Linked DNA regions of Mus musculus. The protein of the gene in region 1 interacts with the protein of each later gene in a pairwise test. Links are inferred from orthologs where the notes say so. Each region holds a gene or a part of one and is shown on either strand. Other genes may lie near its edges.

Evidence for each region.
Region 2: the proteins of Glrx3 (region 1) and Mapkbp1 interact in binary tests that used the Homo sapiens proteins (3 or more experiments, as listed by UniProt). The two-hybrid records come from large-scale screens. The link is inferred for Mus musculus from reciprocal best matches to the Homo sapiens genes GLRX3 and MAPKBP1.
Region 3: the proteins of Glrx3 (region 1) and Ciapin1 interact in binary tests that used the Homo sapiens proteins (3 or more experiments, as listed by UniProt). The link is inferred for Mus musculus from reciprocal best matches to the Homo sapiens genes GLRX3 and CIAPIN1.

The regions. Positions count from the first base shown.
Region 1 is NC_000073.6:137,458,056-137,461,703, forward strand, and holds part of Glrx3 (glutaredoxin-3), read left to right. Parts: intron 1-1,067; coding exon 1,068-1,240; intron 1,241-1,425; coding exon 1,426-1,487; intron 1,488-3,290; coding exon 3,291-3,348; intron 3,349-3,648. UniProt on the Homo sapiens protein: Together with BOLA2, acts as a cytosolic iron-sulfur (Fe-S) cluster assembly factor that facilitates [2Fe-2S] cluster insertion into a subset of cytosolic proteins.
Region 2 is NC_000068.7:120,021,152-120,024,799, forward strand, and holds part of Mapkbp1 (mitogen-activated protein kinase-binding protein 1), read left to right. Parts: coding exon 1-169; intron 170-579; coding exon 580-746; intron 747-938; coding exon 939-1,084; intron 1,085-1,185; coding exon 1,186-1,380; intron 1,381-1,544; coding exon 1,545-1,629; intron 1,630-1,880; coding exon 1,881-2,164; intron 2,165-2,391; coding exon 2,392-2,988; intron 2,989-3,366; coding exon 3,367-3,452; intron 3,453-3,648. UniProt on the Homo sapiens protein: Negative regulator of NOD2 function. It down-regulates NOD2-induced processes such as activation of NF-kappa-B signaling, IL8 secretion and antibacterial response. Involved in JNK signaling pathway.
Region 3 is NC_000074.6:94,828,277-94,831,924, reverse strand, and holds part of Ciapin1 (anamorsin), read left to right. Parts: coding exon 1-152; intron 153-2,694; coding exon 2,695-2,771; intron 2,772-3,485; coding exon 3,486-3,648. UniProt on the Homo sapiens protein: Component of the cytosolic iron-sulfur (Fe-S) protein assembly (CIA) machinery required for the maturation of extramitochondrial Fe-S proteins.

The DNA.
Region 1 (3,648 bases):
TCTTAAAGGAAGAGTAGTTTACATTCCAGTGGATTAAGAGTATCTTTCAAAGAAAGGTGAAGTGAGAAAGAGGAAAGTGGTTTGGACTTGGAGGTGCTAATTGATAAGAATTTGCAGCTGGGAAGAAAAGTGACCTTTTCTCAGCCTGGACAGATAGGTTCATAAGACTGATGTGAACCCTGGCAGAAGATGGCTTCACCAAACTCTAAACTCCTGGGACAGATTTGTCACTATAGTGTACCTTCAAAGGGAATCATCATCCTGCACACTAAAGGGAATGTAAATAATTTCAACAAAGGCTGAGGTGGAGTCACATCAGCCTGTAGGTGATTCATGTAACAACAAAGAGAGTGTGAACACTGGCTGCTGACTTCACCCAAAGAGAGCACTTGTGATTCTGAGTGCCATCCATCCTGCTCAGACAGAGGTGGAGATGAGAAGCGCCTGCAGAAGTGTGTACACAGGCTCCCTGGTGTGGTGGAAGGACTGCACTTAGGTCTCACTGTAGTCAAGCAGTGGTTAAAACAGCTGTTTCAGGCTCCTGGTCAGTTTCTTGAAGGGAGAGGGAGCAGCCATAGAGAGCTTTGTCATTGTCAGGGTGGAGCCTGTGGTGGGTTTTCATGGTTCTGCTCTTTGACTAATGCTGTGTCCCCAATTAAAGGGCAGCTTTGATAAACACACACACTTTGCTGTAATTATGCTCTGTGTGAGACTCTGGGTCAAACGAATTTTTAGCATTTACTTTTGTCTTAAATTATCCAGTTATACTGATTCAATCACTGTGCAGGTGAGGTGGGCATTTCTGTCCCCTGGACAATGGGTGGCAATCACTGTGCAGGTGAGGTGGGCATTTCTGTCCCCTGGACACTGGGTGGCAATCACTGTGCGGGCGAGGTGGCATTTCTGTCCCCTGGACAATGGGTGGTAATCACTGTGTGGGGGAGGTGGCATTTCTGTCCCCTGGACACTGGGTGGTAATCACTGTGTGGGCGAGTGGGCATTTCTGTCCCCTGGACACTGGGTGGTACGTGAGAGATGCTGAGTCTCTACTCCTTGTTCTGTTGCAGGTTTCAGCAAGCAGATGGTGGAAATCCTTCACAAACACAATATTCAGTTCAGCAGCTTTGATATCTTCTCAGATGAAGAAGTTCGACAGGGGCTCAAAACGTACTCTAATTGGCCCACCTATCCTCAGCTCTATGTTTCTGGAGAGCTAATAGGAGGACTTGACATAATTAAGGTTAGATTCTTATAAAGACAGTTCAGAGCACACTTTCCTAAAAGTGCTGTAATAAATTGAAAGCACATATTTTGTATTGTATCTCGGGGTTTACTAATGAACTCAGTATTTCTGATCGACGTTTGTCAGTGTCGCACAGTGGGGGTGGTCAGGTGGTTTATGTAGTCACAGTGTGCTTCTTTCAGGAGCTGGAAGCATCAGAAGAGCTGGACACGATCTGTCCCAAAGCACCCAAGTTAGAGGAAAGGTGAGTGATGGGAACCCGGCAGCAGGGTGCTCTGTGCATCTTAGCAGTCTATACATCCTGTTAGTGTGCTGTTCTTTCTGAGTAGACACCAAACATTTACTTAGTGTTTAGTTAGTATTTGGGTCATAATGTGGTGTTCCTCAGTACCTAGTTTTGCAAACTCTGGATGCTCTCGTTTGGACTGGAGATGTTTTACCTGATTTAGCAATTATGAAGAGTAAGTAGACTTGGTGCTGTAGAAATGTTACTTTCAGTGGGTCAGCGTCCTATTTGGTTCTTGCTCTTTTGTATGAGCATAGCACCTCTGTGTTTTTGTGTGCAGCTCAGTCCCTAAATGTGGTAAGAGTTTAATGGGAAAAGCTAGGGTTCTCAGAGGCTTTCCTGAGTCATAGTCACAAAACTCAGGCAGACTCTGGAGCTGTGAAACCATCTTTCTATTTATGAGAGAGTACAGCCTGCTTTAGAAGTCGTGTAGAAATGGTGGATTTTGTTGTAGAGGGATATATGAAGGAGGTTCTGTTGTAATAAATGTGAATTTATTAGTTCACGTTTTTATATTAATTAATTAAACATAATTTATCTTGAAATGCATCAGAGCTCAACAACTGTTAGTTGGGCCTTGAGTTTGTAATTTGCTTGCTCTTTCACATTTTGAGAATTTCTACAAATATTTAATAAAGATTGTTTGTCTGTACTTAATCCAAGTACTCCTTAGGAGCAGTATTCTATAGATGTCATGCTGGCCAATGCCATTGGTCTGCACCCTTTTGTAGTGGTGAGAAGATCGTGGTGTTGTGGATACCACACGGACCCTTTTGTGGTCTTTATCATGGCCCATGATATTCCCCCCCCCCCCCCCGGCTGTGCTGCTTCTAGGATGGTTCTGCATCTCATCCCCCAGATTGTCCTTGCTGCTGTTGCCATGTCTTAAAGTGCTGTTTACAGCTCTCCCCGCTTCAGGCATGCACAGATACATACAGCATAGAGTTGTATGTTTCAGGTAGTAATCTAAAGAGCTCTTCTCTAGTGACATGATGAGTATTTAGACAGCCGAGTGGCCTGTGATGCATGGATCTAGGTGGTTAGATCCTCTGGTGAGTGAGCTTGGCCTCTGGGATTGGCATACCTGACCAGCGTCAGCTTGCTTCTACACGATTTTGACTCGTGCTGCCTCCACAGATGAGAAGAGAGAAGAGAAAAATGATACGACCCATTATCTGTACACTGATTTTTTTTCTAAAGATTTGTGACTAAACTTTGTTCCAAACTTAGGTTATTAACAATCCTGATAGAGAGCAAGTTAGATTGCGCTTTTTGACAGGTGACATATAAAGTTAAAATGAGAAGTGTTGATTTTTCCTGGTTAGTGGTGGGTGGAGGACTAAGATTTTGCTTTCTTAGGCTCACTGCCCTGCTCTGGTGTGAAGAGCATTATGCACATCGTGATGGGAAGCGCTCACTGCTTCATTTGGGGAACTGGTAGATGGCTCGCTATACAGGCCCCCCATCGAATAATTCCTTGCTGAATTGGTTATTATTATTTTTTTAGTACTACAAGTTGATGGGCTTAAATTGCAACTTGAAAGAACATTCGTTGCCTTAAAAAGCCATATTATGTTTTACAGTGGCTCAGGGAGAGAATGAAATAAAGGAAAGTGTCAATGTTTTTGCTTGTTTAGTACCACTCAAAGCTGTGAGCCGTCATCCTGCTATCCCTCAGATATGCCTGCTACTCAGGAAGCAGAGCAGAAGTGGTGTTTAATAATTGAGCTGAGCCATTTTATATCAATTTTCTCTCTTCAGGCTCAAAGTGCTGACCAATAAAGCTTCCGTGATGCTCTTTATGAAAGGAAACAAACAGGTAAAGAACTCAAAAACAGTTTTATTTGTAATTTCTTTTGATGTTAACATCTGCAGCAAGGGGACAGTTAAGCCTTTTTTTCTAGTTTAGCTAATGAAGCTGTAGTAGTATCAGGAAGTTATCCAGGCCTTAATTGGTGCTTATGGAGATCAAACAAAGTAATCTCCATTTTGCTTGACTTTACCATCAGCATCTCAGCAGGGTGCATGTCTTTCTGCTGCCAAACTTTGTCAGCTGAAGTGGTCAACGCTGCTAGCGCTCAGCCAGTACCTTTTGTGAGGCTGTGGACTGTGGGCAGAT
Region 2 (3,648 bases), on another chromosome or scaffold:
CTGGGCTCAGCCAGGCGTGGAGCTGAGTGTTCGCTCCATGTTGGACCTGAGACAGATAGAGACCTTAGCCCCAAGCCCTCGAGGCCCCAGCCAGGACTCACTGGCTGTGTCCCCAGCTGGTCCTGGGAAGCATGGTCCACAGGGCCCTGAGCTGTCATGTGTCAGTCAGGTGAGCTATCTTTCTCCCAGCTCTCTAGAGGTCTCAGGAAGCCTCAGCCGGTCCTGTGCTAACAGCCGGGGCCTGCGCTTAGGTACTTCTGTGCACAGAAGACACAGAGACAGGAAGTCTCCTCTGAAATGCAGTTGTAGTAGAACTGACTGGGCTGTATTGTGAGTGGGGTGGGCCGAGAGGTACAGGGAGCTTTGGGGAGGATTCTTGGTGTTGAGTAGCAAGAGCCTGGCAGTCCGAGTGCCAAAACAGCTCTTCCAGAGGCTTAGTATTCCAGCTGAGCCCAGCCTGGCCTCCTGCTTCCTGTCCCCAGAGCTACAACACTCTGCTTCCGCAGCACTGCTGTTCACCAGCACCTTCTTCTCACGCCAGCAATCCTCACAAGTACCCCTTTCTTTATGTGCTTCCAGAATGAAAGGGCCCCTCGGCTTCAGACCTCCCAACCCTGCTCCTGCCCCCACATTATCCAATTGTTGTCACAAGAGGAAGGAGTCTTTGCCCAAGATCTGGAGCCTGCACCCATTGAAGATGGTATTGTCTACCCGGAACCCAGTGACAGCCCTACCATGGATACCAGGCAAGGGTTGTGCCCTGGCCAGAACTCATGGGCTCTGCGGCCCTTACACTTCCTTTCCCTCTGAGTTTTCTTACGTGGGCAGTGGTTGGCCTCCAGGCCACCACCTCCCTAGCAGTGGTCACAGGCAGGAGCTGAGTGGAGCTGCTGACCCCTGCTCACTGTCTTTCCTTCCTTTGCTGGCCTTTCCGGCAGTGCGTTTCAGGTGCAGGCTCCAACCGGAGGATCCCTAGGAAGAATGTACCCAGGCAGCAGGGGCTCAGAAAAGCACAGTCCTGACAGTGCATGCTCTGTGGATTACAGCAGCAGCCGGCTTTCCAGCCCTGAACACCCTAATGAAGGTAAGGCTGTACCATGAGGAAGGGACAACGGGGTGAAGCAGGGAAGGCAGACCTGTGACCGATAGGTACAGTGTGATGCCTTTCCCCTCCCCCCCATCCAGACTCTGAGAGCACAGAGCCCCTAAGTGTGGATGGCATCTCCTCAGACCTGGAAGAGCCAGCCGAGGGTGATGAAGACGAGGAAGAAGAGGGAGGCACTGGCCTCTGTGGGCTACAAGAAGGCGGCCCTCATACCCCAGATCAGGAACAGTTTCTAAAACAGCACTTTGAGACTCTGGCCAATGGGACTGCTCCAGGTGTGGTCTGTGGGCCAGCCTTCAGTCAGCCACATCTGCCCTTGTCCCCTAGCTGAGAGGGAGGGTCCAGTAGGCAGTGCCTTAGGTTGCTTTGTAGGGGCTGCAAAGACCTCGGGCAAGAACTAAACTTCTGACTCAGTTCATGGTTTCTGTGCCTCCTGCAGGGGGCCCAGCACGGGTGCTAGAGAGGACAGAGTCTCAGAGCATCTCATCACGATTCCTTCTGCAAGTGCAGACCTCCCCACTCAGGTACGGACCACCCCACATGGCTCTGCTCACCTGGTGCTCCTGCACCTGGCACAGCATGTAGCCTTCCTCATGTCTCTCCAGAAGGGGACGTTGTACTCCTAGATTTGAAGCAGGTGGTCTCACGCAGACTCTGTCTTGCTTTGTGCTTGTCCTCTCCTGGTGCATCTCTGTCTGTGAGGGCATCTGGCCAGCTCAGGGAGGAAAGCACTGAGCCTTCTCTGGGCCTTCTTCTGAACCCATTCTCCCTGTAGGGAACCATCCCTATCCTCCTCAGGCTTGGCCCTGACGTCCAGACCTGACCAGGTATCACAGGTGTCTGGTGAGCAGCTGAAAGGCAGTGGTGCCACTCCTCCAGGAGCACCCCCAGAAATGGAACCCTCTTCTGGCAACTCTGGCCCCAAGCAGGTGGCTCCTGTGCTGTTGACACGACGGCATAACAACTTGGACAACAGCTGGGCCTCCAAGAAAATGGCTGCAACCCGGCCTTTAGCTGGACTCCAGAAAGCCCAGTCTGTGCATAGTTTGGTACCACAGGGTAAGGAACCTTGATGAGTTCAACTACAGGTTGTGGGGGATGTGAGACATATATGTGGGCATGCTGGAGGAAGGTGGGTCTAGTGTGGCCCTGGCATGTCACCATGCTTGCCACTGCATGTCCCTTAGTGATTACACACAGGGGAGAGTAGCAACTGGGGACTGAGCCCTAGCATTTGCACACTTTCCTCACCACGCGACCTGCATCTGTCCCTGTCCCCAATGCAGATGAGGTGCCTTCATCACGTCCACTGCTCTTCCAGGAGGCAGAGACCCAGGGCAGCTTAGGATCCCTGCCACAAGCTGGTGGCTGCTCATCTCAGCCCCACTCCTACCAGAACCACACCACCAGTTCTATGGCCAAGCTAGCGCGTAGTATTTCTGTTGGCGAGAATCCGGGCCTGGCAACTGAACCTCAAGCTCCTGTACCGATCCGAATCTCACCATTCAACAAACTAGCTCTGCCTAGCAGGGCTCACCTTGTCCTGGACATCCCCAAACCACTTCCTGACCGTCCTACTCTGACCACATTCTCACCTGTATCCAAGGGCCTGGCCCACAATGAAACAGAACAATCGGGCCCCTTGGTGAGCCTAGGAAAGGCTCATACTACAGTTGAAAAGCACTCCTGTTTAGGGGAGGGTACTACTCATAAATCTAGGACAGAGTGCCAGGCTTATCCTGGACCCAACCACCCCTGTGCCCAGCAACTGCCAGTCAACAACCTTCTCCAAGGCCCTGAGAGCTTGCAGCCCCTGTCCCCTGAGAAGACTCGTAACCCAGTGGAAAGCAGCAGGCCAGGGGTAGCCCTGAGCCAGGACTCAGGTGTGCATGGCTCCCCAGTCTCACCTGGCCCATCCTTTCTGTCTCTGTTGGCTACTTTCTGGCTCTGTCCCATTTCTGTGTGCCTGGCCTTTGGTGTTTTTGTCCTGTCTGCTCCTGTCTTGGTCCATAAGTCACACCTCTGATGGTGAGACACTCTTGCCACCCTTCATAATCTCCCTGTGACCCAGTGAACCCTTTAGTCTGGATACTAGGGCTGGCTTTTCCTTCTAAACTTTGTGTGGTGTTGGGGAAGGTGTTGGAAGAAGGTGGGACAAGAGGCCAGGATTGTCGGCTGGTAGGGATTATAGCTCTGCTCTGAGAGCCCTGGGTTGGGATGCCTGAAAAAGCAGCAGGGCCTCACTGGTGTTTGTCCTTCAGAACTGGCCTTGAGTCTGCAACAGTGTGAACAGCTCGTGGCAGAGCTCCAGGGGAATGTACGCCAGGCAGTGGAGCTCTACCGAGCGGTGAGTATGGGGCAACCACTGTAGGCAACAACAGAGCTTCTTCTACACACTGGATGGAGAACTCAAGGGTATTCTGAGCATTGTAAAGGGGAGGGTCAGAAGCCAGGCCAGGCCTCTCAACCCCAGAATCTGTTGGTTATTTCTAGGCAAGAAACAGGGTCGTAGCGTAGAACACCATATTATTCAAGAAAATCCC
Region 3 (3,648 bases), on another chromosome or scaffold:
TTCGCATAAGGAATCCAGCTTCGATGTCATTCTGTCGGGTGTAGTCCCAGGAAGCACCTCTCTGCACAGTGCTGAGGTTCTGGCTGAGATGGCCCGGATCCTCCGGCCAGGGGGCTGTCTTTTTCTGAAAGAACCAGTGGAGACAGCTGAAGGTAAGGGTCTTGGTGCTCAGAAGGTGAAAGTTTAGCACCGCCGCGTCTGTGCGTGCGCACACCATCTCCCTGAGACTGTGCCTGAGGTACTCCTGTAGTATTAGTCTCTCAGGGGTGGGTGTTAGAGTCTGAGGCAACAGAGCTGAGAAGATGTGCTCTCTGGTTGACCTACAAGATCATAAGTAGAAGGAGATTGCCACCTAAAATGGCTGAATCTATCACCAGATGAACAGTTCATCTTTGTCATGTTTCTGATAGATAGAACATTCCAGCACTGAGGAGGAGCACACAGCAACTTCCTGTGAGTCTGTGGTTATTCCACAATACAGAGTTTTAAAGCAATGGCTGGAATCCTGGGAGTAAAGAATAATATGTGAGGCTGGGCGTGGTAGCACACGCCTTTAATCCCAGCACTTGGGAGGCAGAGACAGGCGGATTTCTGAGTTCGAGGCCAGCCTGGTCTACAAAGTGAGTTCCAGGACAGCCAGGGCTACACGGAGAAACCCTGTCTCTAAAAACCAAAAAAAAAAAAAGAAGAAGAATATGTGAGAAGCTTAAACTATTCCGAGAATTCCAAGCTAAAACTAATCCAAGAACTAAAGCCTTGAGGCTCAGTAGTGTAGCTGTCAGAATTGTTAATCCTGGGTTTCTAGCTTTTTTTTTTTTCTTCACTGAATTCAATCAAGATGTAGAAATATTCCACCAGAAACAGTAAAATAATAGAAATGGAAGTATTTCAGAGAAAATAAAAATGTACTGTGTATGTATAGCTGTGACCTTGTTATGTCTATGGTAGACACAAGCTTTCTTGCTGGAAACTTTTATGATTTTTAAGAGAGAAGAAACGTGTGTACATTTGTGTATTTGTGTGTGTGTATACATGCCTGTCTGTATGTGAGGATACATGAACATGAGTGTAGGAGGCCAGAGGTATTAGACCCCTTGTATGGTTAGTGGATCCGCTCCGCAGGACTGGAGAGGCAGGACATGGGAGTTTGACTGTGCTTACCCCACGCCATTGCTGGGTGGGTGCCAGCCTATGGGGATGCTGCAGGACACCGTTTGGGGTGGTGTGTGTGTGTGTGTGTGTGTGTGTGTGTGTGTAGCTCAGTCTGAGGTCCTGGGAACCGCTGGCTGCTCTTTAGGCAAAAGCTTTCTCCAGTGCTCCCCCATGGTAGAAAGTAGATGAGTAAAACAGTACCCCACTTCTTAGGGTGGGCCTGAGGTTAAATATCTTTTGTAGGGAGGAGTGTCTGGGAAGGAGAGTTTATTAGCTAAGTCCTCAAGGCCTTTACATACCTCATTAAAATGGAGATCTGTCTTAAGCCTATGCGACCACAGGGACTACTACATGTGGAAGGGGTTGGGGCGTTTTCTTACATGACTGAGGCCACAAATCTATGAAGGGCTGAGGCCTCATGCCAAGAGCCTGGTTTCCTGGGGTGGCGGCGGTGGCGGCGATACACCTTCCATCCCTTTAGAGTCACCAGGGTTTCTAACCTTAGTTTCTTGCGCGCTCCACTGGCCAGGAAGAACGACGCTGCAATAGGATCCTTCTGCACACGTTTATTGGGAGAGCTTGATTGTAGAGGCGAAAAGACCCCGAGCCCAGAACTGGTGCTGCTTTTATAGGCCAAGGAGGGGCGTGTCTCACACCCGGATTGGTTATGCACTAAGCCTCATTTGCATGTTCCTCATCTGATTGGCTACTCTCTCTCAGTACCTTACAGAACCTCATTATCATACCTCATTTGCATGTCTCACATCTGATTGGTTATACTCTCAGTACCTTACAGAACCTCATGATCATGCCTGAGCCAGGCAGTGTCTTTGCAAAAGACTTCACTGCATACGTACACATTGGTTGTTTGTCCAGTCTTATGCGTGGTGGCCAGCAGTAGTCAGTGCCACTCAGCAATGGCACATGTGGCTTCCCACATAGTTCAACCAGGAACCAGGCTGCCTTTCATGGTCCTACAACCCCCACCCTGGAGCTTAAGTTAAGGTTGTTGTGAGCCTTCTGATGTAGATGCTGGGAGCTAAATTCCCATTCTCTGCAAGGGTTGTGTGTGCTTATAACCACTGGGCCATCTTGCCAGCCTGTTCTTGCTGGAAATTTAAACCTTGAGTCATAAATGGTGAGAGACAGTACTTAGGTTTCTGTGTACTTCACAGTTTATAACTTTATTCATTATCTAACATTCTTTGGGAGGGGTTTCCAAGAAGCAGAACAATGAAATTATGACTTGTTCTAGCCTAAATAAGAATACTTGGGGTACTGGAGAAATGGCTCAGCAGACCTTCCAGAGGTCTTGAATTCAATTCCCAGCAACCACATGTTGGCTCACAACCATCTGTAATGAGATCCAATGCTCTCTTCTGGAGTGCCTGAAGACAGCAACAGTGTACTCATATAAAATTAATTAAAAAAAAAAAAAGAATACTTTGAACCACCAAAAGATTTTTCAAGATAAATGTTATCACTAAACTAGTTTTCCCAACTTTGACATATGGAGCCATTGATGGAGGTTTTCCTTGACAGTTAACAATGACAAAATGAAGACGGCCTCTAAGCTATGTTCAGCCCTGACTCTTTCTGGCCTCGTGGAAATAAAAGAGGTAAGTGTGTCGATATCCATTTTTGTTAGGTAAACCTTGGGTGACCCAAACCTACAGAGTGTTTGTCAGTAATCCTGGGGCAAGTGAGGTGATAGGCGCTGTGCAGAACTAGGAAGTAACGTGATACTTGCTGCCTGAGAGAGAGAGAGAGAGAGAGAGAGAGAGAGAGAGAGAGAGAGAGAGAGAAGGGGGGTACAGGATGCTTTGAAAAAGAAAGCCTTGGGAACAGGTTCCTTCTGAAGACTCGGTGGTTTGCACTGGTCTTCCTAGAGCTTTTAAACAGTGATGTGCTGCAGGGAGGACGGCGACTGACTGCTTCTGTCCCACTCAGTGTATACAGCTCTTAGGCTTCCATGGAGTATTGTCCCTTAGACCTTTGGTGGAGACAAGACTGTGGAAGGGGGTGTGCACTTATGACAGTTGAGTAGAGAGATATGTTCAAGCTAAGATAGGCCTTTGTTGTTCCATATTTTCTAGAAATTAAATTTTAAAATATTAGCATTTTCTTGGTTTGAAAGACATGTTAGTCCGTGACAACTGTATTGTTATATTCCTGCTTTTTTTTTTTTTTTTTAAATGTGATTCAGGCCTTTAAATTCTCTTTTTGAGACAGAGACTCATTGTTGGATGTAGCCCAGGCTAGCCATGTGGCTGGCTTGGTGAAACAGTGAATGGAGGAGCGTGCACTGATTCGTGGGATGTCTTCAATTGCAGTTGCAGAGGGAGGCCTTAAGCCCTGAGGAGGTACAGTCCGTGCAGGAGCACCTGGGCTACCACAGTGACAGCCTGCGCTCAGTCCGTGTCACTGGCAAGAAGCCAAACTTTGAAGTGGGTTCTTCTAGCCAGCTAAAGCTTCCCAACAAGAAGTCTTCTTCAG